Linked DNA regions of Callithrix jacchus. The protein of the gene in region 4 interacts with the protein of the main gene of each other region in a pairwise test. Links are inferred from orthologs where the notes say so. Each region holds a gene or a part of one and is shown on either strand. Other genes may lie near its edges. The genes, in order: SYT6, SNX22, BAHD1, DVL3, WT1, TNFAIP8L1 and KLHL12.

What was found.
Region 1: the proteins of DVL3 (region 4) and SYT6 interact in binary tests that used the Homo sapiens proteins (3 or more experiments, as listed by UniProt). The two-hybrid records come from large-scale screens. The link is inferred for Callithrix jacchus from reciprocal best matches to the Homo sapiens genes DVL3 and SYT6.
Region 2: the proteins of DVL3 (region 4) and SNX22 interact in binary tests that used the Homo sapiens proteins (3 or more experiments, as listed by UniProt). The two-hybrid records come from large-scale screens. The link is inferred for Callithrix jacchus from reciprocal best matches to the Homo sapiens genes DVL3 and SNX22.
Region 3: the proteins of DVL3 (region 4) and BAHD1 interact in binary tests that used the Homo sapiens proteins (3 or more experiments, as listed by UniProt). The two-hybrid records come from large-scale screens. The link is inferred for Callithrix jacchus from reciprocal best matches to the Homo sapiens genes DVL3 and BAHD1.
Region 5: the proteins of DVL3 (region 4) and WT1 interact in binary tests that used the Homo sapiens proteins (3 or more experiments, as listed by UniProt). The link is inferred for Callithrix jacchus from reciprocal best matches to the Homo sapiens genes DVL3 and WT1.
Region 6: the proteins of DVL3 (region 4) and TNFAIP8L1 interact in binary tests that used the Homo sapiens proteins (3 or more experiments, as listed by UniProt). The two-hybrid records come from large-scale screens. The link is inferred for Callithrix jacchus from reciprocal best matches to the Homo sapiens genes DVL3 and TNFAIP8L1.
Region 7: the proteins of DVL3 (region 4) and KLHL12 interact in binary tests that used the Homo sapiens proteins (3 or more experiments, as listed by UniProt). The two-hybrid records come from large-scale screens. The link is inferred for Callithrix jacchus from reciprocal best matches to the Homo sapiens genes DVL3 and KLHL12.

The regions. Positions count from the first base shown.
Region 1 is NC_133508.1:152,140,292-152,144,547, reverse strand, and holds the start of SYT6 (synaptotagmin-6), read left to right. Parts: upstream 1-1,456; 5' UTR 1,457-1,553; coding exon 1,554-1,716; intron 1,717-1,963; exon of another isoform or gene 1,964-2,134; intron 2,135-2,396; exon of another isoform or gene 2,397-2,553; intron 2,554-4,256.
Region 2 is NC_133509.1:10,955,376-10,959,396, reverse strand, and holds SNX22 (sorting nexin-22), read right to left. Parts: upstream 2,801-4,021; 5' UTR 2,727-2,800; coding exon 2,652-2,726; intron 2,260-2,651; coding exon 2,176-2,259; intron 1,777-2,175; coding exon 1,672-1,776; intron 1,175-1,671; coding exon 1,080-1,174; intron 984-1,079; exon of another isoform or gene 852-983; intron 493-851; coding exon 228-492; 3' UTR 127-227; downstream 1-126. UniProt on the Homo sapiens protein: May be involved in several stages of intracellular trafficking. Interacts with membranes containing phosphatidylinositol 3-phosphate (PtdIns(3P)).
Region 3 is NC_133509.1:46,140,418-46,143,917, forward strand, and holds part of BAHD1 (bromo adjacent homology domain-containing 1 protein), read right to left. Parts: intron 2,220-3,500; coding exon 1,837-2,219; intron 264-1,836; coding exon 104-263; intron 1-103.
Region 4 is NC_133516.1:13,139,265-13,143,330, forward strand, and holds the start of DVL3 (segment polarity protein dishevelled homolog DVL-3), read left to right. Parts: upstream 1-1,266; 5' UTR 1,267-1,550; coding exon 1,551-1,711; intron 1,712-2,594; exon of another isoform or gene 2,595-2,899; coding exon of another isoform or gene 2,900-2,970; exon of another isoform or gene 2,971-3,000; coding exon of another isoform or gene 3,001-3,098; intron 3,099-4,066. UniProt on the Homo sapiens protein: Involved in the signal transduction pathway mediated by multiple Wnt genes.
Region 5 is NC_133511.1:97,782,733-97,786,232, reverse strand, and holds part of WT1 (Wilms tumor protein), read left to right. Parts: intron 1-571; coding exon 572-649; intron 650-1,638; coding exon 1,639-1,689; intron 1,690-3,500. UniProt on the Homo sapiens protein: Transcription factor that plays an important role in cellular development and cell survival. Recognizes and binds to the DNA sequence 5'-GCG(T/G)GGGCG-3'. Regulates the expression of numerous target genes, including EPO.
Region 6 is NC_133523.1:4,392,656-4,395,505, forward strand, and holds the end of TNFAIP8L1 (tumor necrosis factor alpha-induced protein 8-like protein 1), read left to right. Parts: coding exon 1-112; 3' UTR 113-2,350; downstream 2,351-2,850. UniProt on the Homo sapiens protein: Acts as a negative regulator of mTOR activity.
Region 7 is NC_133520.1:29,958,063-29,961,562, reverse strand, and holds part of KLHL12 (kelch-like protein 12), read left to right. Parts: intron 1-1,669; coding exon 1,670-1,887; intron 1,888-3,500. UniProt on the Homo sapiens protein: Substrate-specific adapter of a BCR (BTB-CUL3-RBX1) E3 ubiquitin ligase complex that acts as a negative regulator of Wnt signaling pathway and ER-Golgi transport.

The DNA.
Region 1 (4,256 bases), on a different chromosome or scaffold from region 4:
CCTCCTATCACAGGCACAGGGGTTAGGGTGGAAGATGCGAGCCTTCCACAATTGCCTCTCCCCCATCCTCTAACCCAGTGCTCACGTGATGGTAGCACCAACTGGGTTCAGCACCGTGGACAGAGCCAGGGAACGACTCACGGTGGAAAAGCCGCCTGCCTGACCCAGGGTCCTCACAGGCCACGTCTTGGCCCTTGGTGCCCAGGGCACTAGCTGCTAGGGAATCGCAAGTCCAAGGGCCTGCTGGCACAGATGGCTCACAGTGGAGACTGCCAGGAGCTGGGGTTCCGAATCTCCTCCCTCCGGAACCTGAGTCACTGCCCGAGTCACTTCCAATAAGCGTGTTAATTAAGGGGCGAGACCCTCCTCCCTCACCAGCCATTCGGGCATACACCAACCCAGCGGTTTCCAGGGCTGCAGCTAAAGTCTCCTTCCCAGCTCCGGGAGAGCAAATGGACTGGAGTCTGGGGCTTCAGGCGAGCCCCACACAGAAGGGGCCAAACGCCGACAGGTGGAGATCAAGAGACTCCCGTGATAGGCCCCTTCAGGGAGCTGGTTCCGCGGCCTCCCTGACCATGGCGCACAGACTTCCAGCGCTAAGTGAGGAGCCTTGAGGCCCCACAGCTAGTCTGCTCCTGGGCCTCACTCCACAGTTTCTGGGGGAATCTCTACTTTAGCCTCAGTCCTTGCGTTTAGCTTTCTTGTTATGCTTAGTAGAAAGATACATGATCTCTGGAGTTGTTGCACTGAAGTGGAGAGGTGGGTCGGCGGAACTCAGCGCCCCGCGCCCTCTTGAAATGACCCCCCATTCCTATTCGCCAGAAACTTTCCCCTCCCGTTGCCATGGAGAGAGACGGCCGCTGGCACCAGTCGCCATAGCAACACGCGGGTACCGCGGACCGCAGGATTGCGGAGCTCTGAAAGTCTTGCAGTTCGCATCGCCCGCCTGTCTTGAGGTCTTCTACCTCCGAAGCTGGGACTTGGGGCCAGTATAACTTCTCCGGTCAGGAACCGCGGCCAAGGCCCTTCCAGCCCCAGCCTGACCGTCGCTCTTTCTGTTTCAGGGTTATCTATTTCGCTGCCATTTGTGTGGCATGTGGCCGTTTACCCAATGTTTTCACAAACACGATCTTTCTATTCCCAGGCAGCCAGTGAAGCACTTAAAATCATTACACCTCCTTTACGGAGAGGGAAATTGAGGCGCAGAGACGCCCAAGGTCACACCAAGCAGTGAATGCAGAGCGGGAACCCGGGCTCTTTATCAGCCTTGCACCCTCTGAGATTCGGGACAGCCCGACTCCCTGCCTCGAACCCCCCTCCCCTGACTCAGGCCAGTCCCTGAGTGTAGAGGGGGCGGCTGCGAGGCGCCAGACTTGCCAGCTGCCGCGGGATGCCACGTGAGGGGCGGGGACCCTGCGGGGAAGTGATTAAAAGCGGAGCGGAGCCGCAGGGGGCCGCTGCAGGGAGGGTCTTCTAGGGGCCGTAGTGCCCCGCCCCAGTGCGGCCGCTGCGCGGGTTCGAGCTGCTGCTCGGCAGGCCTGGGTGTCTGGGGCATGAGCGGGGTGTGGGGGGCCGGCGGGCCTCGGTGCCAGGAGGCGCTCGCGGTTCTCGCCTCGTTGTGCCGGGCCCGGCCGCCCCCTCTTGGGCTGGACGTGGAGACTTGTCGGAGCTTCGAGCTGCAACCCCCAGAGCGGAGTCCCAGCGCGGCAGGCGCAGGTAACGGGAGACCCAGAGCCCTCTCCCTTCTTCGATTCCCGTCCTGCGGACTCCCCTCCCCAGAGCACCGGTCCCAGGAGCCCCAAAACCTAGAGAGAACTCTCCAGCTCGGTATTCTGGATTGGAAGCCAGCCTCGGGCCAGTCCCCTGGCCCATCGCTTCCACAGCCAGGAGACACCAGAAAGGGACCGGGGGTGGGGGTATAACTCCCCCGGTCCTCCGGTGTTACTACTGCGGGGGACCCCACAGACAGCCAGGCTCCCAGGATGGGGCACCCTCGGGGCTTCAGTTTCCCTCGCATCTCCAGGCTCGCTCTGCAGGCGACCTGCCAGAAGAGGGGTCCGTGGAGAGAGCGGGAGACGAGGGGCGCCTAGCTGAGGAAGAAAGCTTGTCTCCTAGCGAGTGTCGAGGTCCCGGGGTTCGTGCATCGGTCTGTCCGTCCGTTTGTGTGTTCTCGTGGTGAACACGGAGGACCCCCGGTCTCTCTGGGAGAAACTTGGGTCTGCGGCTGGCACGAGGTCTTTGTGTCCGGGTGTCTCTCCGGCTGCGAGTGGTTTTCCGCGTCTCCGCTGGGGGGCGGGGGACAGGGGGCGGGGTGGGGGAGGGTATGAGGGTGTCGCGTCGTCCTTCCCCCACCCCCCTCGCCCCTATAACTCGCTCCCTCGGTCCCTCTCGGACTCGGACTCGGGGCGGGTGCGCGACTGAGCCGGCGCCTCTCGCCGACTTTGCCAAGAGGGCGCCTCCTGCCCGAGCCGCGCGGACCCTGCGTCGGACGCAACCCCAGGCGGCTGCCGAGCCGAGGCGGGAGCCCGAGCCGAGTCGAGCTCGCTGGAGCGGGTGAGTCCCGAGCCCGATCCCCGCCGGGCTGGACCCCGGCGCGCAGCTACGGCGTCTCCCGGGAGTCGCGACAGCGGGAATGGCGTGTCGCGCCCTGGCGGCGGGAGACGCGGGAGGGTCGGCGACGTGGCGGCCGGCCCCGGGTATTTACCTGCTGCACCAGTGCCCTGCGGCCACAGTCGCCGGCCGTCGCGAGGCTTCTTTGTCCCGACGTCTTGAGGGTCCGGGGCCGGAGGGAGTGCGGGGTCGCGTCCCCTCCGTGGGGGAGGGGCTGGGGGAGTGAGAGGCCTGGAGAGAATGCGGAATGGGGGTGGGGAGATCCTGCAGGGACCAGGGCACCGGGGGTCCAGGAGGCTCTGCAGGCTCCATCCCTCCTTGTCCCCCGACCCCGACCCCAGTAGTGCTGGGCCTGCAAGTACTCGGGAGTTGCCCCGTGGCTCCGCACCGCAGGCGCGGGAAGGGGAGGGAAGGGGCTGCCAGAGGCAGGAATTTGGTCCCCAAGCGTTGCTTCGGGGACAAGAAGCCTGGGACCGTAGCGGCGGTTCCGGGAGCAGGTACAGGTGGGGTAAACTCCCCAGCGGCTGCAGGTTCCCAGGGTCCTGTTTTCTTTCACTTGAGGTTAAAGGTCATATACGGAGGTAGATTCCGATGAGGAACACTTCAGGCGAGGGGCAGTGGCCCAAGGGGAGGCTTGTGTGTGTGAGGGGGCTGTATCCAGCCTTGGGGTGAGTGGAGCCCACCTGAGCACTGAAAGTCGAAGGAGTCGCTGCTCTCCCTAGTTGTGGCAATGTTTAGTCAATGGTTTGATCACTGCAGCAGAAGAGACTGAGGTTAGACATGAAGAACTTTTAGAGGGTGGTTCAGAGATGGAGATTGGGGAAGTTGATTCCTCACCTCGGAGATTCTCAGAACAGATTAGGCCTGGCAAGTTATTACAGGTCTCTGGTTCTCCAGTGCCATCCCCTCCTACACCACCCATTTCCCCATACCCACCAGACACAGAATTTTCCCTATTAGGGAGTCTCTTCCTGCCTCTCCCTACTCCCCAGCCCCCTTCCATCTTTTCCACCATTGGTCCATCTCCAGCGCCGCCTTAATGTTTGACCCTCAGAGCCTAGAGGGTGAGAACATACCTGTCTAGTTCCACCTTGAAAGGAAGCTGCCCCTCCTGTCTCTCTAGGGCAGAAATGCTGGGCGGGGGAGGGGGGGAGATGCTGGAGGTGGGGTAGGGCTATCTGTGCACAGCACATCTTGGTAGGGGGAGGCACTGGTGTTCTGATTCCAGAGGGATGCCCATAATCTGGAATGACAGGTGCCTGCATGGCCAGGTTGTGGGTGAGAAAAGCCTGAGGGGTAAGAGTCAGCAGACCCAGATGATGACTATGCCTTCCCTGCAGGCTGCCTCAGGACATGAGTTTGAGTTGTCAGCTCAGGAAAACTTTAACTTTGGCTGCTGAGTCACAAGTCCAAGAAGCCCAGGGGGCAAGCTGGGAGGCTGAAAGGGATATGGAGGGCGGAGGCAGGGGCAGACCCTTTGATCATAGCAAGAGAAAGAAAGTGGTTGAGAGTGGTCTTAGGATCCTGAGAATTTAGGTGACCACAGGGTCTGGGGAGATTCTGTGGAGTCCAGGACCAGGCCCCAGCTGTTCTTCCTCCCAGCCTGCTCTCTGCATCCCAGAGCCACTACCTGGGTCCAGATTCTC
Region 2 (4,021 bases), on a different chromosome or scaffold from region 4:
CTGGAGCACACCATCCACCACCACGTTGGGCAGCGGCTCTGTGGGATAGAATTAAACAGGTCTGGCCTCAGGCCTGCAGCTCCTTGAGGTCCTGTTCATGGGCTCAGCATCTCCCCCCCCGCCCCCCCGCAACTGCCCTTGGAAGTAGGAGCCCCTGCCAAGGCAGCAGACAGCAGCTGTCCATCCCAAATGAAGCCCTGGCATTCCCAGGTTGCATTCTGTTCACATCAGCTTGGTAAAGAAGGAAATGGAGACCAAGGAAGCCAAACTTGTTTTCCTTGTGTCTGTACAGCTCCAGGGGAAACGGGAGTGGGAGGTGATGCCCCAGAGGAGGGCAGCAGGAAGGACATGCTGTTTGGGGATCCCGGGAGTAGAACAACACCAAGCCCACCTCCTGTAGCCCTGGATCTAGGCAGCTCCTCACCTGGGGAGGGGGTGCACACATAGGGATCCACATGGAACCCCAGGACAGGCCGCTGGTGCTGCTGGGAGCTGGGAGGAAAGAGGGTCATGAACCATCGGTGCGGGAGGCAGGGCAGAATCCCACAGAGGGGTGGAGATGGGGTTGAGATCACCAGGAAAAGGTGAGTGGGAAATGGGCTCAGGAGGCACCAAGGGGAGGGCAGACCACAGGGCCCAGGCCGGACAGGCCCAGGCAGCAGGCCGGCCTCCTAGCATATGGCCACTAGGGGGCGGCAGGGGCCAGGCACTGGTCAGGGCCTTGAATTGCCTGCTGTCACCAGGCAGGACCTCCCCCAGGGTGCTGAACAGAAGAGAAACACTGTAAGCTGCCTGGGGATGCCCGGGGGAACGTGAGGAAGGGGTGGGGACACCAGAGCCCAGAACTGTACCTCCCAGGGGACCACTGCTTCTATTTGTAACAAGCCCAGTTCCGGAGGTGGCTGGGGTAACCAAGGCTGTCCAAAAAAGCTCCTCTACCCAGGTCGAGAAAGCTGGTGAGGGCGGTCATGTCAGGCTGGGGCCTGGCAGGTGTGAGAAGAAAGGGCTGGCCCTCCAACACCTTTCCTTACCTGCTCTCTGCTGACAGCCCCTGGCCCCCACCCCCAGCGCCCCCTTACCCACAGCTGCTAGCCTTCGGGTCTGTGGGGAAGTGCCGAAGTCTCAGGAATTCCAGTAACTCCTTGGGTACCTCCTGGTTTAGATACAGGATGCCCTGGAGAGGACAGAGACCTGCAATCAGACCCAGCTACTAATTTGCATAGCCCAATGTCGCTGAAAATGCAGGACTTTTTGTTCCAAAAAAAGAATTTCAAGACAATGACAGCAGAGCATTAAACCAAGCTCAGGGCCCTTGTGAGTACTGGGCCCTGTGTCCACAGGTTGTACCCAGCGAACTGGCATAGCTTTGCTGTTGGGGGAAGACACTCACAGTACATCCCATCAGGAGGGCAGCACAGGACCTCATCCTGGAGGGGACAGGACCTGCCTTTCATGGAGCTCGGACTACCTGTGTCTGTTACCTCATTCAGTCCTTTCAATACTCCAGAGAGGGATATTTGGACCTATATTACTTTTCAGAAAATGCACGCTTGAGGTGCTGAATAACATCCCCAAGTTGTGGGTTCCCTCCCTGCCATGGCCCCACACCTCTTTGTCTGGGCCACATCCCTGGCACAGCAGGCTGCGGCGACCAATCATGCCCTTGCATACCTGGATGTAGGCCTCCAAGCCCTGCCGGCGCTGTTCCAACCCTCTGGTCCTCCAGTTGGGCAGGCGTTTCGAGGGGAAGTCGGGCACTCTGTACAGCTTCTTGATCTACTGGGGATTTACCGCGTGCGATCACAGCATCCCGACTGAGTCCTCACGCCCTCTTCGCCCAAGCCAGAAGCCCTCCCACGCCCCGTGCCCCCGCCTTCAGGCTCTACTCTGGGACAGACCCTGATGAGTGGTGGACGGACCGATGGCGAGGGAGGCCCCAAACCACCCACAGATGCCCGGGAGGGTGGGCGCTGGGCCTCCCGGGGTGACCGGCCATAAAGGGGCATGGTCGGTGCGAACCAGGATGTGCCCCCCTGCACCCTCCCCTCCTCAGATAAGGGCAGTCATGGGGGTTGCGGAGCCTGGGGCTGGAGCTCGCCCGCCCGCCTCACAGGGCCTGGGCAGGGGCTGGACGGAGGCTGGGCTGGGGTCGGTGGGGGGTCGGCGCCGCCTCACCCGCTTGTGCAGCGCGTGGAACTCGCTGTAGCGCCTCGGCACCGTGTGTCTGCGTCCGCTGCACAACACCTCGACTCGGAACACCTGGCGGCGCGGGCGGGCAGTGGGGGTGCGCGTGAGACCCCGCGGGAGGACGAAGCAGGACCCGCGCCCAGCGACGCGCCCACCCGCCCCGCGCTCAAAGGCACAAAGCGGCCTTGCGGCGCCGCGGCTCCCCGGGACGCTCCGCTCCTGCACACCTGGGAGAACCGGCTGGCGGACCCACCCCTCGGCGCCCTGTGGTCTCTCAAGAGCCCGAACCACAGTCTGCGAGGGTGGCAAATCCAAGCGACCCCCAAACCCTCGACAAGGTGTCCCCCGACGGTCCGGCCCGCAGCGCCCGTTCACCCCGGCCCGGGCTCCGGGTGCCCACTGAGCGCAGCGCGGGGAAACTCAGCAGGTCCCAGCGTCCCTCCCCATCCAGGGGCCGCGCTCACCATGTGGCCTTTCTCCGGGCTCTGCCTGGGCCCCTCGGCCTCGGGCCCCACCGACGGGATGTGAACTTCCAGCATCCGCGCCCCGGCCCCGGCCGCTGCGTGCGCTCGGATCCGAGCCCTAACTCTCCCGGAGCAGACAGACGACCCCTGCGCGGCCGGCCCCGCCCCGCCCCCTAAGCCCGCAGGCCCCACCCAGGCCCCGCCTCCAGGCGACGCCGCCCCGGGCGTTCCCTCACGCGGCGGGTCCTGGGCCCAGAAGATTAGGCGGGACCAGGACGCAGCGCGGGGCAGTGGAGTCACCCATTTGTCAAACATTTACTGAGCGCTCACTGATGCCAGGAACCGGTGAGCGAAAATGTCACCCATCTTAAGTGTCTACTAAGGACTAAGAACGGCCTGTGGCTCCAGGCGTAGACGGAGGCCGGGCTCGGGCCTCAGTGCGGCTCCTCGGGCCAACCAGGGACCTACCTGCCTTGCGTTCCTCAGTCCCTTCCCCAGCCTTTCCCTCCTTTCAGCCTAGTCCCTGGGATTGTCGACCTGGAGTCCCCGGCTGAGGCCACACCTGAGCAGGGCGTGGACCCAATCCAGGTATGATGTCCCCTTCCCCAGCATCCACAGGCCCCTCCGTTCAGTCATTGTTTTCATCCATCCATCCACTTCTATCTTCTAAACCTAAGCGGCTCCAGGCTGTTTGTGGGGAAGACGCAGTTTAGGGACTTAGGCTCTGATTTGGGGATCAGACAGCCTGGATTTCAGGAACCCTGTAGACCTTTGCTCATCTGCAAAATAGGCATAATGTGGCTCCTTGACGAGAGTGTATACAGTTAGACGATTTGGCCAGGAGCAGTGGCTCACACCTGTAATTGCAGCACTTTGGGAGGCTGAGGCGGGTGGATCACCTGAGGCCAGGGGTTCAAGACTAGCCTGGCTAACATAGTGAAACCCCGTCTCTACTAAAAATCAGCCGGGTATGGTGGCACGTGCCTGTAATCCCAGCTACTCTGGAGGCTGAGGCAGGAGAATGGCTTGAACCCGGGAGGCAGAGGTTGTAATGAGCCAAGATCGTGCCATTGCACTCCAGACTGGGCAACAGAGCAAGACTCTGTCTCAAAAAAAAAAAAAAAAAGTGAGACATGTTAGGTCCTTAGCAAAAGCATTGAGTAGCAGCTTGACTGTGGGCTTGTCCTGGATGACTAGGACAAGTTGGCACAGGGCAGCGGATGGGAAGAGGGACTTTAGGGGGTGGCACAAGTTGCCCTTGTCCACCCCTCTGGGCAGCTGCTTCCTAGATATGTGGCAGAATTTTAATCCAGAATTCTCTCAGGCCATGTGCTGGAAAGGGCCTCTGCTCCCACCTCTCAGCCCTACAC
Region 3 (3,500 bases), on a different chromosome or scaffold from region 4:
GGAAGACTCATGCCAGGTCAAACTCTAGGCAGGGGCCAATCTGGGGCCTACAGTCCTGCTAAAAGCAGCTGCGCCTTGGGTCCCCAACCAGAGGGAGAGGTACCTGACTCTGGGTTCTCCCAGAGGGCAGAGATCTTGGCCACATAAGGCGTGGAGGTCTTTCGTGGGCCTGACTTGAGGAGGACAGTGTCCCGGACTCGGATTGTCTCCCCGTGCCGCTCTACCGCCTGGTAGCTCTTTCGGATGGCTGGTTCCGGCTCATCCTAGGCAACAAACCAATGACACACAGAGGCTTGAGGGCCACACTCAGAGTAAGGATAGAGGGAGGGAATGACCTACTCTCTACGATTTCCTCAAGGTAGTCATACCACTAAGCAGGTTTGGATGGGGCTGGGGAAATCTCATGGTTGGAGAAAGGATGGGAAATGGGAACAGCATTGGCAGGGGTGGTGGAGTGGCCTGAAGCTTCTGGGACTGAGCTCTGACCACCATACCCCTTGACAGCTGACTCTCACTCCAAGCCCCTCAATGCTGGATAAGTGCTCATGCTTCCTAATGGAACAATCTCGGTCTGAACCCTTAAATCACTGTTAGAAGGGGCACAGTCTTAGACAAATTATTTAATCCACTGCTAAGCCTCAGCTTCCGCATCTGTAAAATGGGGATAATTACAAGAACATGGAATATATACCACATAGAGTAGTGGTGGAGCATAGAGGGAATAATACAAAGTGCTTAGCTCAGTTCTGGCATCTAAGAAGTACTCAATAAATTTTATCTATTTGTTTGTTGATTTATTTATTTATTTTTAGAGACAGGGTCTCGCTCTGTCACCCAGGCTGGAATGCAGTGGTACAATCATAGTTCACTGCAGCCTCAACCTCCTAGACTAAAGCAATTCTCCTGCCTCAGCCTCTCAAGTAATTGGGACTACAGAGGCATGACATCATGCCTGGCTAATTTAAAAAAATATTCTGTAGAGACAGGATCTTGCTATGTAGCCCAGGTTGGTCTTGAACTCCTGAGCTCAAACAATTCTCCAGCCTCAGCCTCCGAAAGCTCTGGGATTACAGGCATGAGCCACCTTGCCCAGCCTCAATAAATTTTAGTTGACATTCTTTTTATTTTTAATTAATTACTTTTAAAAGCCAGGGTCACTCTGTCACTCAGGCTGGAGGACAGTGGTACAGTCAGCTCACTACAGCCTTAAACTCCGGGACCTTAGCAATCCTCCTACCTCAGCCTCCCGAGGAGCTGAGACTACTGGTGCACAACATACCTGGCTAATGTTTTTACTTTGAAGAGATGAAGCCTATATATTGCCCTGGCTGATCTTGAACTCCTGGCCTTCTGTGATCTTACTACCTCCGCCACCCAAAGTGCTGGGATTACAGATGTGAGCCACTGCATTTGGCCTCTTTTCATCATCCCAGATGTCCTCTGTATCACTGATTTTCTCTGCCCGTTCCAACTTCTCCATATGGACTTACCCAGAAAAGTTCTCCATTGAAAGTCCTCCATTTTACAACTCAGGCTGTAAGGGACAGAGTGAGCAGGGAGGAGAAAGACACTCAGGAAGACACAGAGATGGCAGCCACCAGCTATGACTATGTGTCTCCTGACCTCTGTGGGGTGTCCGGTACAGGATTGGTAGGGGGCTGGGGAAGCAGGCAGGGTGGGCCAGCATGAGTGGTTCCTGGGGTACCAGTAAACTAGAGTCCCTTGTCACCTCTCAGAGTAGCTAGAACCAGGTGCTCTTAGCACCTACCTCACGGCAGGTTTTGTGTTTCCCACTGCCTCCTTCCCTCTCATCATCAGCTAAAAGTTGGCACTCACCAAGACATACACAGCCTTCTCACAGGCAGCCCCGACAGGTACCCAGCCATTAGTGCGGCGGCGACGGCGGCGGCGAGGGCGTGGGCGCTGGACACGTGGCTGCTTGGGGTGGCTGGGCCTGCGGGCAGCCTTGCTCCTTGCAGTGTGCCTGCAGCCAGAGCCCGTGCGCAGACCTGACTTAGAACCGCTGGGAGGTTTGGCGCTCTGAGGGCACGCACGGGCTACTGTCTGAGGCTCCGAGGTGGGTGTCTGAAGATGGGGGACGGGCTCTGCTGCAGGTGGCACACTGGGTACAGGGCATCCCAGGAGGGGGTGGGCGGGTGAGGCTGGGTGGCCAGCTTCCGGGAGAGGAAATTCCAGCTGGCCCAGGGATCTGCAGCCTTCTAGGAAAGGGAGAGAGTGGGTCAGGACAGGACAAGCAGTGACCCTCATCACCCATCTAATTGCAGAGGCTGTTCCTGTCTTAATTCTAAGTGTGCAACCAAAGGCCACCGAGATGGCCAATGTGATCAGAAGCCTTTATGGTGGATTGTCAGAGTGACTCTCTAAGGGGACGGGGGCATTTCCTGATCTTGGAGATTGGCATCTCCTCTTTTAGTCTGAAAGAGGTGGTGGGAACATCCTTTTTAACTCCAATGTTAACTTTTTTTGTTTTGAGACGGAGTCTTGCTCTACTGCCCAGGCTGAAGTGCAGTGGCATGTTCTTAGCTCACTGCTACCTCTGCCTCCTGGATACAAGTGTTTCTCCTGCCTCAGCCTCCTGAGTAGCTGGAAGTACAGGCACCCGCCACCACGTCCAGCTATTTTTTTTTGTATTTTTAGTAGAGATAGGGTTTCACCATGTTAGACAGGCTGGTCTCAACCTGCTGAGCTCAGGCAATGTGCCCGCCTCGGCCCCTCAAAGTGCTAGGTTTACAGGCAGGAGCCACTGTGCCTGGCCCTGATAATATTAACTTTATAAGCCTTTCATAATGCTTGGGAATAGGGGCTCTGGAACCAGACAGCCTGGGTCCTGACACTTACTAGCCATATGACCTCAGGCAAGTCACTTTGCCCCTCAAAGCAATATAAACAGTAGTTATGAATATCACACATATTTGTTAACTTGCTATTTTCTTATGAACACATTAACTAATTTCATCCTTACAAAAACCCTGTGAGGTAGGTATTATTACCCCCATTTTATAGTTAAGAAAACTGAGACAGAGAGCAGTTACTGACTTGTCCCATAGTCACATGGCTAGGAAAGTGGGGGAGAACATTTCACTCCAGGCAGTCCTGCCCTGGGGTCTGCGCTCAATTACATGCCAAGGAACATCCCATATGTAAAGCACTCAGAACGGTGCCTGGTATATGGTGTTCACTGGTGTCCTTATTATTAGAGAAAGGGGTAAGGGTCTAGACTTGGGGAATGGCACACAAAAAAGAAGGAAAACCCCAAGCAGCAGCCTGTTCTGATGTCCTAAGAGCTTTAACTCAAGCCACAACCTGAAATAACTAGTCTGGCCAGGGCCAACTGGTCTATAAAGTTGTTTTATAGACCCCTACAGAAAGGATGTCGGGGGAGGGATATCTCTGGAAGGTACAACCCTCACCTCCCCAGCAGCAGGGCAGACCTGCTGGCCGGCATGGCTCTGGTTACCTCATTTCCACCCAGGAGGCTG
Region 4 (4,066 bases):
AGTTCTCCTGCCCAGCCTCCTGAGTAGCTGGGATTACAGGCCCCCACCACCACACTCAGCTAATTTTTCTTTCTTTTTTTCTTGCTCTGTTGCCCAGGGTGGAGTGTGGTGGCACAATCTCGGCTCACTGCAACCTCCACCTCCAAGGTTCAAGCAGTTCTCCTGCCTCAGCCTCCTAAGTAGATGGGATTACAGGTGCACGCCACCATGCCTGGCTAATTTTTGCATTTTCAGCAGAGAGAAGATTTCACCATGTTAGTCAGGCTGGTCTTGAACTCCTGACCTTGTGATCCGCCTGCCTCGGCCTCCCAACGTGCTGGGATTACAAGCGTGAGCCACCGCACCTGGCCTAATTTTTGTATTTTTAATAGAGACGGGGTTTCACCATGTTGGCCAGGCTGGTCTCAAACTCCTGACCTCAGGTGATCCACCTGCCTCAGCCTCCCATAGTGCTGGAATTACAGGCATGAGCCACTGTGCCCGACTTCCCCTGATCCCATCACAGCACTCTGTTTTACCTTCTTCATAGCAGTTGCCACTCTGAAGCTATTTACAAGCCTATGCGCTTCCCTCCAGCAGAAGGAAGGTCCTGAGAGCAGCCATGTCTGTCTTGCTACCGCTATATCTCACGCAGTATGCCTTACACATAGTAGGCCCTCGGTGTTTAGTAAATGAATTAAAAGGAGGTCTGAGAGGAACAGGCTATACCTAGTTCGGGTTGGTGACTTACTGTCCGGGGTGCATGCATTAACTTATTCTTCATTTAATAATTTATTGAACCACTGCCTTGCAACTGGACGCTAAGGCTATAGGGAGGAATCGAACTGGATGCTGTCCTGCCCTTGAGGAGATCAGTTTCGTAGACAACGTGACAGCAGTTGTGCTTCTCAAGAAACCCTGAAGGGCCATGTTGCCGTCACTCTCCTCCAGGGATCCAGAGTCAGAGCCACCCTCTTTCCGTAGACCATTTCTGGGGACCAAAGCAATCCCTGCATTCCACTCCTCTCGGACCGCAGAGGAACAACCCATCCCAATCAGGTCCAGAGTCAGGACTTCGCGGTTCCGGGAACGCCGCCCTCCCGGTGAATCTCCCGTTCAGTCTCTAAGGACCCGGGACCGGAGCGGGGCGGCCCGGCCAGGGGGCGGGACATCAGCGGAGCCGGGTGGAAGTCCATCGAGGCCGGCGAGGCCGGCGCCTCCGTGCGGCGGCCGAGGGCGGGGCGCGCCGGGGCGGGGCGAGGCCGCGCCGGGCCGGGGGAGGGGAGCGGGCCGGGACGCAGCCCAGGGCCGGGAGGGCCGCGGCCACCGGAAGAGTAGCGGCCTCCAGCCCAGCCGGGAGAGTGGGGAGCGGAAGCGGCGGCCGCGGCGGCGGCGGGCGGCGCTGGGACCCGGGAGCGGCCGGAGAACAAGGGAGCTGGCGCCGCGGGCCGCCGCCGAGCTGGGTTGAACCGCCGGGCCGCGCCGCGCGCCGCCGCCGCCGCCGCCGTGTGGGCTCTGCCCGGCCGCCTGAGCAAGGCCGCGCGCGGGCCTCCGGGCCCGAGGCCGGAGCCATGGGCGAGACCAAGATCATCTACCACTTGGACGGGCAGGAGACGCCGTACCTCGTGAAGCTGCCCCTGCCCGCCGAGCGCGTCACCTTGGCGGACTTTAAGGGCGTTCTGCAGCGACCCAGCTATAAGTTCTTCTTCAAGTCTATGGACGACGATTTCGGGTGAGAATGGCCCCTGCCCGCCCCCGGGAGCCAGAGGCGGCTCCCCAGGGACGACGCAACCCTTCTCGACTTCCCTCGCTCACCCGCTCCTAGCCCCGCTCTGACTTCAGGGGCGACTCGGCCCATTGGGGCCCCGTGGGTTCCAGCCGCTCTAGGGACTGCCATTCATCCCTGAAGCGGGGACCTGGGCCTCCCTGGTTGAAGGGGACGTCCAGCTCCCCGAGAGCAATCAGAGTTCCTGCCGTGCGGTCCCCTCACCTCCTCAGGGACCAGTGGCTCCCAGCGACAGACACACCCCCCCCTCCACCTGGTTCCGGAGCCCGAGTCTCTGTCCTCCTCCTGCCGAGGGGCCGGCGCCACCTTTTCCGCAGACTGGGGTTGCGTGGCCCTGGTTCTTCGCCCCTTCGTCTTTTCAGCAGCGCAGCTCCCAGCCATATTTGGAGTATGCTGCAGCTGAGTGCTCTGCTGGGACTCTGAGCTGGGGGAGGGGTGACGGGGGTGCTCGGGCGCCGGCCGGGAGCAGGGTCTGCAGATCTCATGTTTATCTTAACTGCCTCTCCTCTCCCTTGTGGGCTGCTGGGGGTGTTGTCACTGGAACAGAGCGCCTGACCCCTGAGGACTGGTCCTCACTGACCCAGGTGCTGATTTTCCTCCAATTCTGGCCTTTTTCCTCCAGATGGTGGCCAAGGGGGAGACGTTGGGAAGGGCCTGGGGCCTGGATGGGAGGGCCAGGAAGAGTTTCTTGGTGTTCTCCATCTTCCCCTCCCTGGTGGGGTCTTCCCTTCCACCCAGCTGCAGAGATCTGGACAGGCAGAGTTGGGAGGCAGTCACTTCCCCTTTAAGAGGGGATGGAATGTTGGAGCCGGAAGGTTCTGAAGCAGCTGGCCTGGAGCAGGGGGGGCCAGCCAGATCCCCTCGAACCCCCCAACTCCCAGGAGACTGGAGGAGGGGAAGGCGCCCACACTAGCCTGCCGCCTCACTAGCTGGGCGCTGGGCCTGGAGTCGTTGGGGAAGGCCCCACCAGGCCTGAAGGCTGCCTTTTCAGCCCTCGCCTGCGGCCTGGACTGCTCTTTGGAGCTGAGGCCCCACAGCCAAGAGGAGACATTCTTCTCCCCAGTGTTCATCGGTCTGGCTTCTCTCCCAAGCCCCTGACCCACCTAGCCCTGGGAAGCAAGCATCTTCTGTCTAATGCCTGTCGTGTGTTGCTGTCACCTTCTGCTCGGCAACTCAGGATTGGATGAGCCCCTGAAATCCTGTGTGTGAGAGTCCTTTGTACAGTGGGCAGTGCTATGCAGATTCTAACTATTCTGGTTTCTGTTGTTGTTCCTGCCCTGGGGTGGGGTGCTCCTGCTGTGGTGACGATTGTCTGCCTTCAGCCCAGAGACAGGTACCTCTGATTGGAAGATTCTGAGGAGGGATGGATCCAGAAGGGGTCTGGGTGAGGGGGTGGGTGCCTTGGCCTGGCAAGAGAATAGAGTTAGAAGGGATCAAGCTACAGCCTCCACGTAAGGAATGGGGGAAGATCAGCCAGAGTCCAGTGCCCTGGGGCCATCCCAGATCCAGATGCCTTGCAGGGCTAGGATAGGCTGTCTCTCCAACCTCCACTTATCTCTAGATCCACCAGGCCTGGCCCCTGCCTCCTAAGCCTGGACAACTCTGGGCTGCTGTCACTCTCCCAAGGCTGCTATTGAGGCAGGCCAAACTGTAGTTATAAGAGGGCCCTCATTACACCAGTCACTGTTAATATTTTTCTTTAAATCCAGTGTCAGTCCACTCATTCTTAATCTTTTTTTTTTTTGAGACGGAGTTTCATTCTTGTTGCCCAGGCTGGAGTGCAGTGGGCATGCACTCCATCTCTACTAAAAATAAAAAATTAGCTCCGCCTCCCGGGTTCAAATGATTCTCCTGCCTCAGCCTCCCTCTCCTGTAGCTGGGACTACAGGCACGTGCCACCATGCCTAGCTGATTTTTATATTTTTAGTAGAGACGGGGTTTTACCATGTTGACCAGGATGGTCTTGATCTCTTGACCTCGTGATCTGTCTGCTTCAGCCTCCCAAAGTGATGGGATTACAGGTGCAAGCCACCACACCCGGCCCACTCATTCTTTTTCTTAGCTTAAACCAAGCAATAATGTGAAACCATAGGTCTGATTTTCTATTTATATTTCTTTCTAAAATACGTTTAACGTAAATATTTAATGATTGAACTAAGCAATGTTAATTTATGTGCCACCTGAAGCCATCTTGCAAACGTCAGTGGTACTTGAACCAAAATATCAGAGTTGGACCATTTTAGCAGGGTTGAAAACAGTGCTAAAAATGAAGTGGAGGCTGGGCTCAGTGGTTCACGCCTG
Region 5 (3,500 bases), on a different chromosome or scaffold from region 4:
TAAAACATATAGAAAATGATTCCTTCAGCTGTGCATCGAGTTTATCATCATCTTTCTTCTGCTTGTCACATTTTTGCTTTCTAGACCATTTATCACCCATCACTCTTTGACTTTTCAGACCCTCATAATCCACATGATACTTATCCTTTTGATTAAAACAACTTAATGGCCTTTTCACGAATAATTAATCTGCTGTCTTTACTTTCAGCTCCAGGCTTTTAACTTTAATGTTGAGTTATCCAGCCTGCGTTGCCTTTCAAAGTTTCACTCCCCTTAGCCTTTTCCCCTCAAAGGTTTCATACTTCTTTAGTAACTTCGATGGTTGCCATACTAAGGTTTTAAAAAATGCTTCCGAGTTACTCTCCCATCTTTTCTGCTGTGTATGAAGTGTATAACTGCGCAGAGATCAGTGGGATGAAATGAACATAATTTCAGACTTGGATATTCTGTCATTCTGGAAAATGTGGAGGCTTCCACTCTCAAGAAAAGTTAAAACTCCGTTGCTTTTGAAGAAACAATAGCGTATTATTTTGTGCTTATGTGTTTCTAACTCTGGATGTTTTTTTAACAGTGACAATTTATACCAGATGACCTCCCAGCTTGAATGCATGACCTGGAATCAGATGAACTTAGGAGCCACCTTAAAGGGGTAAGGTCTTCTCTATTCCATTGCCTTTCCACAGTAACTCACACCTGTTTGAACCATTTTAAAGGTGCTTAGAATTTATGAAGAGAGTACAGTTTTAGAAGAATGGGCAGAGCTCTCTGTGGCATTAGAATGCTTTCCTCCTTCCCCTAGTTGATAAGTTCTGTTCAGTATTAAATTTTCAAAAACATAAATAGGTGGTGTCTCTATCTGAAACAAGGAATATTGGGGACAAAGCCATTCAACCTCATTTAATAATTGGGTTTTACTATGATGTCACAGTTGTTAACCATTCTGCTATCTTATCAAGAGGTGCTTTGGGTGTACAAAGTCCAGGATCCAAATTCATATTTGTGTGATGCTGATCTGGGCAATCCACAGTCCGATATGCCCATACCTGATTGCACCAACAGAGTTTTTCTTTCCATACTTGACCATACAACCATAATAGGGAGAATACAGCCAGGAAACATAGGAAGGGGCTACTCTTTGCACCTAAAAGTGAAAAAAAAAAAGAAGGTGGGACTTGCTTTCATCAGTGAAAGAACTCTTTTCATTTTCTAATAAATATGAAGAGATGGGCAATAGCATAGAACACTCATGAAGTGCCTGCAGCATGTCAGGTGCTCTTCCAGGTTGCCTCATCTTATCTTCCCAACACCTTCATGAGGGCTAAGTACTGCATGGTTTACAGATGAGTAAACCAAGCTCAGAGTGTTAACTTACTTCCCAAGTTCACATCCTACTAAGTGCTGGAGCTGGCATTCCAAGTCCACATCTGATTCCAAAGTCCAAGCTCTTTGCAGCCTCCAGGTGGTTCTTTCCACCCCACCATTGGCCCCAGTGGGACTGGGGACTCAGTTCAGCACTCTTGACACCTAGCTTGATGTCTCTGTATATTGAGGGGCTTTTCATTGGATTCTGGGATCTGGGGGGATTACCAGAGCCATGCATGCTCCATTCCCCACTCCCCACCTCTTCTTCTCTTCTAGAGTTGCTGCTGGGAGCTCCAGCTCAGTGAAATGGACAGAAGGGCAGAGCAAGTGAGTGGACAATGCGGAGATGGCCAAGCAAATGGCGTAGGCCTTATTGACTGGCACCTGGGGCAATGCAGGAGTTAGGACTGATGTGGGTAATCAGGGTAGCATTTGGTGGATGGGAAGAGTCTCTCTCCTCCGGCCCCACCTCTTCTTGTTCCTCTACACTGCTGGGGATGAAATGGAGGGAGTGGCATTTCTCTTCAGTGTGCTCCTGGAAAACAATTTAAAGATGATGCAGTAGGAATCCTGCTCATTTCTTTGTGAATATTTCACAAAATACTAAATTTGTAGCATTACATATGTTCTCGTTAGATCAGTCAAGTCTTTCAGTCTTAACTTACTTGCTTTTTCTTTATTTACGTTTAAGTGTCTCAGGGAGAACTTACCCTAAGTCAGAGGCCAGGCTTTGCGAAGATTTTTTTTTGGTTGTTTTTCAAAGTTTTTTAAAATTCCCAAACATTCACACCTTTCCCAGCCCTATACCCTGCACCCTGGGGCATTTCTGTAGCTGTTTCTTTTTCTTTTCTCTGCTTAAACTCGGCAATCAGCCACCCCCATTTCTTCTTCCTTGTGTTGGCCCAGTCCTGCTATTTGGTTCATCCTTAAGTAATCAACAGAGTTGTATTTCATCTTCCAAGACTTACTGTTGGAGTCTTCACTTCACTCCACCCCAGTATTTTTCAGCAATTTTACCCAGATCTTCTCTTCCTCTCTGGAAATCAAAGAAGAAGACTTCTGTTATTTTAAGTTATATCTCTCCTGTCTTTCATCCAGGGGACTGCTGACAGTTTTCGCTTCTTTCTACCTGTTCTTAACTTGTCTTAAGCTCAGGGCTTTTTGGTCCCACTCTTTCTTCCTGGCTCCCTTCCTTTTCTCCTTTCTCCTCTGCTCAGAACTTGATAACGTTCCCCAAGTTAAATGGCAAGGATAGACAGAACATGATTGTGAAGTGAGCAGTACGTTTCAGTTTTAAAAACATCTTCATGCTGTAATACAGGGGTTCGTTTGTTCAGTTACAAAAATCACAGATAAGGAATTTTGGCATGTATTTGCAGCTGGATCTTTCCATAGTTGAGATAATTTCGATACTTTTTAAGGTCTTTTGACACGTGCTCTTAGTCACTTGCTGAGGAGGCAGAAGCTATATTGTAAGGATGAAGCACAACGTGTCAACAGTTTCCTCTGTTCAGTCCTGCATAAGAAAAAAAAATGAGAAAAGTTTTCATTGGTCTGTTACTTACATTTGGAAAGGATTTCTGAAATAAAAATGTATTTTTCTTTTTCTTTTTTTTTTTTGAGACCGAGTCCCACTCTGTCACCCAGGCTGGAGTGCAGTGGTGCAATCTCGGCTCCCTGGAATCTCTGCCTCCTGGGTTCAAGTGATTCTCCTGCCTTATCCTCCTGCGTAGCTGGGATTACAGGCACTTGCCACCATGCCTGGCTAATTTTTGTATTTTTGATATAGACAGGTTTTCATCATGTTGGCCAGGCTGGTCTCTAGCACTTGACCTCAGGTGATCTGCCTGCCTCTGCCTCCCACACCTGGGATTATAGGTGTGAGCCACCACACCCGGCCTAAAAATGTATTTTTTTGGCTGGTCATGGTGGCTCACGCCTGTAATCCCAGCACTCTGGGAGGCTGAGGTGGGCGGATCACTTGAGCTCAGGAGTTTGAGTCCAGGCTGGGCAATGTGGTGAAATCCCATCTCTACAAAAAAAAAAAAAAAAAAAATTAGCCAGATGTGGTGGCACATGCCTGTAATCCCAGCTACATGGAAGGCTGAGGTGGGTGGATTGCTTGAGGCTAGGAGGCA
Region 6 (2,850 bases), on a different chromosome or scaffold from region 4:
GGCCGACTGCGACTTCCTGGCCGCGCTCTACGGACCCACGGAGCCCTACCGCTCCCACCTGCACAGGATCTGCGAGGGCCTGGGCCGGATGCTGGACGACGGCAGCCTCTGAGCCCCCCAGGGGCCGCCCGACCGCGCCCCTCGCGCCTGATGGGGCTCCTCTGCTGGGTGTGGGGTTTTTTTCCCCACTTCTTTTCTCCCAGTCGGACTCCGGCCAGACCCCCCTAGACAGGTGGGTGACCTGTCCCCTTTGAGAGGACGCGGAGCCATCTGTATGTAGCAGCAGTTTCAAACGCCGATGTCGCCTCTCCTCCCGGCCCCCGCCCAATGGGGGAGGGATTCGAGGCCCTACTCTGCGGACCACTGCCTCGCCAGGGCCCACCTTCCACTTCTGTTGTATTTTCTGGGCCAGGCCGACCCCTGGGTTGCCTGATGTAAGCCAAAAGCTGCTGCTTCGCACTTGATGACGCTGCCTGGGGTTTTCCTCCTTTCGCCCAGGGACTGGGAGTTCACACAGCGAACTGGGGGAAGGCGTGTTAGGGGGCAAGCCATAGCCCCCCAGAATCCATAAACTCCCGTCCTAACCCCGGGACCTCAGAAGATGGTCTGATTTGGAAAGAGGGTCACTACGGCTGGAATGAGTTCAGATGACGCCATCTTGGAGTAGACCCACCCCAATTCACTGACGTGTCCTTAAAAAAGGGGGGTTGGATCTGAGTCCCAGCACACAAAAAAAGGGGGGGTAATTGGGCCACGTACGGTGGGTCACGCCTATAATCCCAGCACTTTGGGAGGCCGAGGCAGGTAGATCACCTGAGGTTGGCAGTTCGAGACCAGGCTGACCAACATGGAGAAAACTTGTCTCTACTAAAAATACAAACAGCCAGGTGTGGTGACGCACACCTGTAGTCCCAGCTACTCGGGAGGCTGAGGCAGGAGCATCGCTTGAACCCAGGAGGCGGAGGTTGCAGTGAGCCGAGATCACGCCATTGCAGTCCAGCCTGGGAGACGAGCAAAACTCCATCTCAAAAAGCGCTAGCAAATGCTGGCATTGCTGGCATCAAGGATGCCTTGATGAGGCCAGAGACCTCTGCCCTGGGTGGGGAGGGGAAACTGCTCCAATCCAGGGACTGCCCCCTACCCCAGGGGTGAGGAGGAACCCACCTAAGATGTGTGCACATTCTATTTATTGTTTGAGACACAGTCTCGCTGTCTCGCCCAGGCTGGAGTGCAGGGGTGCGATCTTGGCTCGCTGTAGCCTAGAACTCCTGAGCTCAAGTGATCCTTCCACCTCTGTCCCAAGTAGCTGGGACCACAGGTGTGCACCACCACACCCGGCTCATTTTTCTAATAGTTGTAGAGACAAGGTCTCACTGTGTTGCCCGGTGTGGTCTCAAACTCCTGGGCTCAAGCGATCTACCTACCTCGGCCTCCCCAAGTGTGCACATTGTAAAATCGTGATTTCATGTCTGGAGAATCAGCAACTAACCAGCCAGCCATGTTGCTTTTATAAGCCAGACCCAAGGAAGCAAACCTCGGCCCATCTTGGCTTCTGGCACCTCCCACAAGATGTGATTTCAGCTGGGGACATGGAGGCGGCGTGTGGGGAGTCTATTTCCCATTTTTGTTTGTCAGAAGGGGGCACGGGTTCTCGAAGATTGCAAAATGCTGCCCCAGGTCGGGAAGGTTATTTTGGGTGCCTGTTGGGGCGGGAAACGAGGTCCCATGACTGTTGGGCAGAACCTGTCTGTGGAAGGTACAGGTTGTGAAGGGGCCCATGGACCTTACTCGGTGAGAAGGTAGGTGTAGCTGGCTCCATCCAGTATTTGAGAAATTTGGAATTTGCCAGTTTTTAAAACGAGGAGATCGCACACACCCGTCTGGATTTGGAGATTCTCTTGCAAACCTGCCCGTCGAGCCGCCTGAGTCTGCGCTGACCCCTGGTGAAGCTGTGTGGGGCCACCCGTCTCCCTTTTGCCACAGTCCTCTCCACTCCCTTTCGCCTCTCCCTGGCCTGCTGCACTCACCGAGAGGAAATTCTGAGCCCACACTTGGAGCAGCCTTCCTGTGGTTTGGTTTCTTGCTTCTGCAAAAAGGCCAAAGGCTTTGGCCAGAGAGCCAGCTGTTCCTACCTCTACCTACGCTTCCAAGGCAACCTTCTCAGCTTATCTCAGACCGAGATAGTTCTTCGAGGGCGTTTGCGCATTCCGGTTTTCTCATGGAGCCCCCGATGGAATCCTGGGCCGCTGAGACATCAATGTGCGTGCGTGACTGTCTGGGCCCCTGTTGGGCTGGCCAGCCTGTCTGGACTCTTGTAAATTTGAGATTTAATTAAAGGAAACAAAGCAAACAGAGCTATGGAACAATTTAAATAAAAGCATTCACCAAGCTGGGCACGGCGGTTCACTCCAGTGAACCTAGTGCTTTGGGAGGCTGAGGCAGGGGCATCACTTGAGCCAAGGAGTTCAAGATCAGCCTGGGCAACATAGCGAGACCCTACCTCTAAAAAAAAAGAATTATATATATATACACAGGGCTGGGAGTGGTGGCTCACACCTATAATCCCAGCACTTTGGGAAGCTGAGGTGGGCGGATCACTAAAGGTCAGGAGTTCCAGACCAGCCTGGTCAATATGGTAAAACCCCATCTCTACTAAAAAGTACACAGATTAGCCAGGCATAGTGGTGGGCACCTGTAATCCCAGCTACTTGGGAGGCTGAGGCAGGAGAATCACCTGAACCTGGAAGGTGGAGGTTGCAGTGAGCCAAGATTGTGCCACTACACTCCAGCCTGGGCAACTCAGAAATAAAATTTAAAAATAAAAAATTATGGCTGGTCAGGGTGGCATGC
Region 7 (3,500 bases), on a different chromosome or scaffold from region 4:
CTTGCTATGTCAAAATAGCCCTGGAAAGGTTGAAAATTAATAGTGTAAACTTAATCGTGACCATTTTGGAGACAAACTGGATGCTCACGTTTACTGGCTATCCCTTTTGTCTCATTAAGCAGTAAAAAATCAGATGTCAATAGCAGTATAAAGGAACTTCTGATATGCATATGTGGCTCTATGAAAGGAGCACTTGCATGTTTTTTTTTTTTTAAAAAAATGTAAGAAGAAATTATGTATTTTCTTACATACATGTATATAACACATCTGTAAGAAGTATAAAAAACTGATATTTTACATAGCCTACAGGGATACTCTTCATTTACCTGGCCATTAAGTAGCCAGGTTGATAATGAGGCTAGGGGGACTTTTCATGGTAAACCCTTTTGTATCTTCAAATATTTGAACTATGTAGAATATCTGTTAAATGAACTTTAAATTCATGCACAAAAAAATGATAGTTTTCACAGGATTACAGATGGTTTGTTTTCCCGTACAATTCCCAGGTTTTTTGGGTTTTTTTGTTTTGTTTTTACCACAGGGTCTCCCTCTGTCACCCAGATTAGAGTGCAGTGGTGCAGTCACAGCTCACTGTAGCCTTGAATTCTTGGGCTCAAGCAATTCTCCCACCTCAGCCTCCTGAGTAGCTGGGACCACAGATGCATGCCACCATACCCACCTAATTAAAAAAAAAAGTTGTGGAGATGAGTTCTTTCTGTGTTGCTCAGGCTGGTCTCAAGCTCATGGGCTTAAGTGATCGAGCTGCCATTCCTGGTCCCCAGTTTTTCTTTTCTTTTCTTTTTTTTTTTGAGACAGAGTTTCGCTCTTGTTACCCAGGCTGGAGTGCAAAATGGTGCAATCTCGGCTCACTGCAACCTCCGCCTCCTGGGTTCAGGCAATTCTCCTGCCTCAGCCTCCCGAGTAGCTGGGATTACAGGCACACGCCACCATGCCCAGCTAATTTTTTGTATTTTTAGTAGAGACGGGGTTTCACCATGTTGACCAGGATGGTCTCGATCTCTTGACCTTGTGATCCACCCGCCTCGGCCTCCCAAAGTGCTGGGATTATAGGCTTGAGCCATCGCGCCCGGCCCCGGTTTTTCTTTTTTAACATTCAGTTATGTTTTCATTATTCTCAGTTTTTATATATACATAATTGACACATTTTTAGTTTTTAATACATGATTTAAATAGCGTGATGCTTTTGCATTAGTGCATAGTTGTAAAATTTAAATACTCTGAACTTTTCAATTAGGTAAATATGAGATTTGTTATTACTGTCTTCTGCTTTTCTTTCACTCGAGTCATTTAGTAGGTTTTTGTGTAGAGTAGAAAATAGGTACATTATGCTGAATTAGTAATTGGTTTTATAGTTTGATTCCCAAGAGTTTTATAGGCATGTTTGTTGAACTGTGCTAGTGTCTCTGGATGCAATTCATCTTGCAATACTGATTTTAAAGAATAAGCAGAGACGGGTGTAAAGGTCTTGCTGAAAGTGACACAGCATGTAAGCCAGAAATAGAGTTTAAGATCCTTAAGCATAGAATTTCTAATCTGTTTCTTAGGGTTCATCTGATAACATGTAGAGAAGATGTCAACATATAAGAATATAGAGTAGATCACACCTGTCTGACTATTCTAAAGTGTTTGCTGCCTGTGTCTATCCTAGGTGTGAAACAAGCCTGCTGTGAGTTCTTAGAAAGTCAGTTGGACCCTTCTAATTGCCTGGGTATTAGGGATTTTGCCGAAACCCACAATTGTGTTGACCTGATGCAAGCAGCTGAGGTTTTTAGCCAGAAGCATTTTCCTGAAGTGGTACAGCATGAAGAATTCATTCTTCTGAGTCAAGGAGAGGTGGAAAAGCTAATCAAGTGTGATGAAATTCAGGTACAGATTTGTCTTTGTGTTATGGTTTCTTCAAGATTGGGCAATTACAAAACTGGCAAAGTAGGATGCAGTTACTTACCAGGGCTTCATATTCAAGTGTCCATATTGGCTCAAAGATTTCATTAATCCCTCCTGTACCAAATTTATTTGTATTTTTATGGAGAGGGAGTCTGCTACTTTCTTCAGTTAGGTGTATGATCCCAATCGGTAAGAATCACTATTAAACAGAGTATAGAATAAGCAGAAATTGGAAGTAAAGTCGGTATCTGTAGAACACGTCTTTATTACGCATTCACTCAGTTCACAAAATTTATTGAGAATATCTACTATGCAGCAATACTATGCCAGGTGCTACAGATCCCCAAGTGGGTAAATATAGTTTCTTGCTTTCAGAAAATTCACAATATGCTAGTAGAGACAGGGATATAGATAAAAAAAAAAAAAAAAAAGGTTGAGAGGATAATGAGAATAATGAGCCTATACAAAGTAAGGACATTACATAGAAGAAAGAAGAATAAACCCAGGTGTGGATCAAAAATGAAGAGATAAAAGTTTGGAAGTGAGGATCTTCATAAGCAGGAGACAAATCAAAACTTTCTTTTGAGGGTGCAGGGGATGGAAGGAAGGGACAGGTGAACTAGATCTTAAAGGAATAGTAGGCCAGGTGCAGTGGCTTATGCCTGTAATCCCAGTACTTTGGGAGGCTGAGGCAGGAGACCTGCTTGAGCCCAGGAGTTTGAGACCAGCCTGCAACATGGCAAAACCCCGTCTTTACAAAAAAATAAAATTAGCCTGGCATGGTGGTGAGCACCTGTGGTCCCAGCTACTTGGAAGGCTGAGGTGGGAGGATCTCTTGAGCCCAGGAGTTTGAGGCTGCAGTGAGCCATGATCACATCACTGCACTCTAGCCTGGTCAGCAGAGCAAGAGCCTGTCTCTTGTGGGGGAAGAAAAAGGAATAATGTTTCACCTACCAGTGGGATACTACCTGTACCAGGCAGGCATTCAGTGACTTAACCTATACAGAAGAATCTTAAGTCAATTCTAAATCAGATACCAGTAGCAGAGTTTTATTGCATACAGGTCTATAGTTAGGCTAAAAATTGGAGTGAGAAGTCCAATATAGTTATTAGATGTCTTTGAAGCCTGTAGTGTTGATCTCCAGTGGCCCAATTCTTTAATTTTTGTTTTTGCGATGGTCTCACTCTGTCACCCAGGCTGGAGTGCAGTGGTGCAATTATGGCTCACTGTAGCCTGTATGTCTGAGATCAACCAACTCTCCCACTTCATCCTCCTATGTAGCTGGAATTGCACACCACCACTAATTTTTAACATTTGTTGTTGAGATGGGGGTCTCACTATATTTCCCAGGCTGGTCTCAAACTCCTGGGCTCAAGCAGTACTAGCCTCAGGCAATACCATTTAAAGAAAGCCTAAAATATACTTCCATAAATGAAATGATTACTCCCTCCTAATTTATTTTGTTAAAACTAGGATATTTGTGTAATAGAATAACAGATCTTAAGTATACCTCTTCCAGGCTGGAGTGCAGTGGCATGATCTCAGCTCACTGTAACCTTCACCTCCTGGGTTCAAGCTCTTCTCCTGCCTCAGC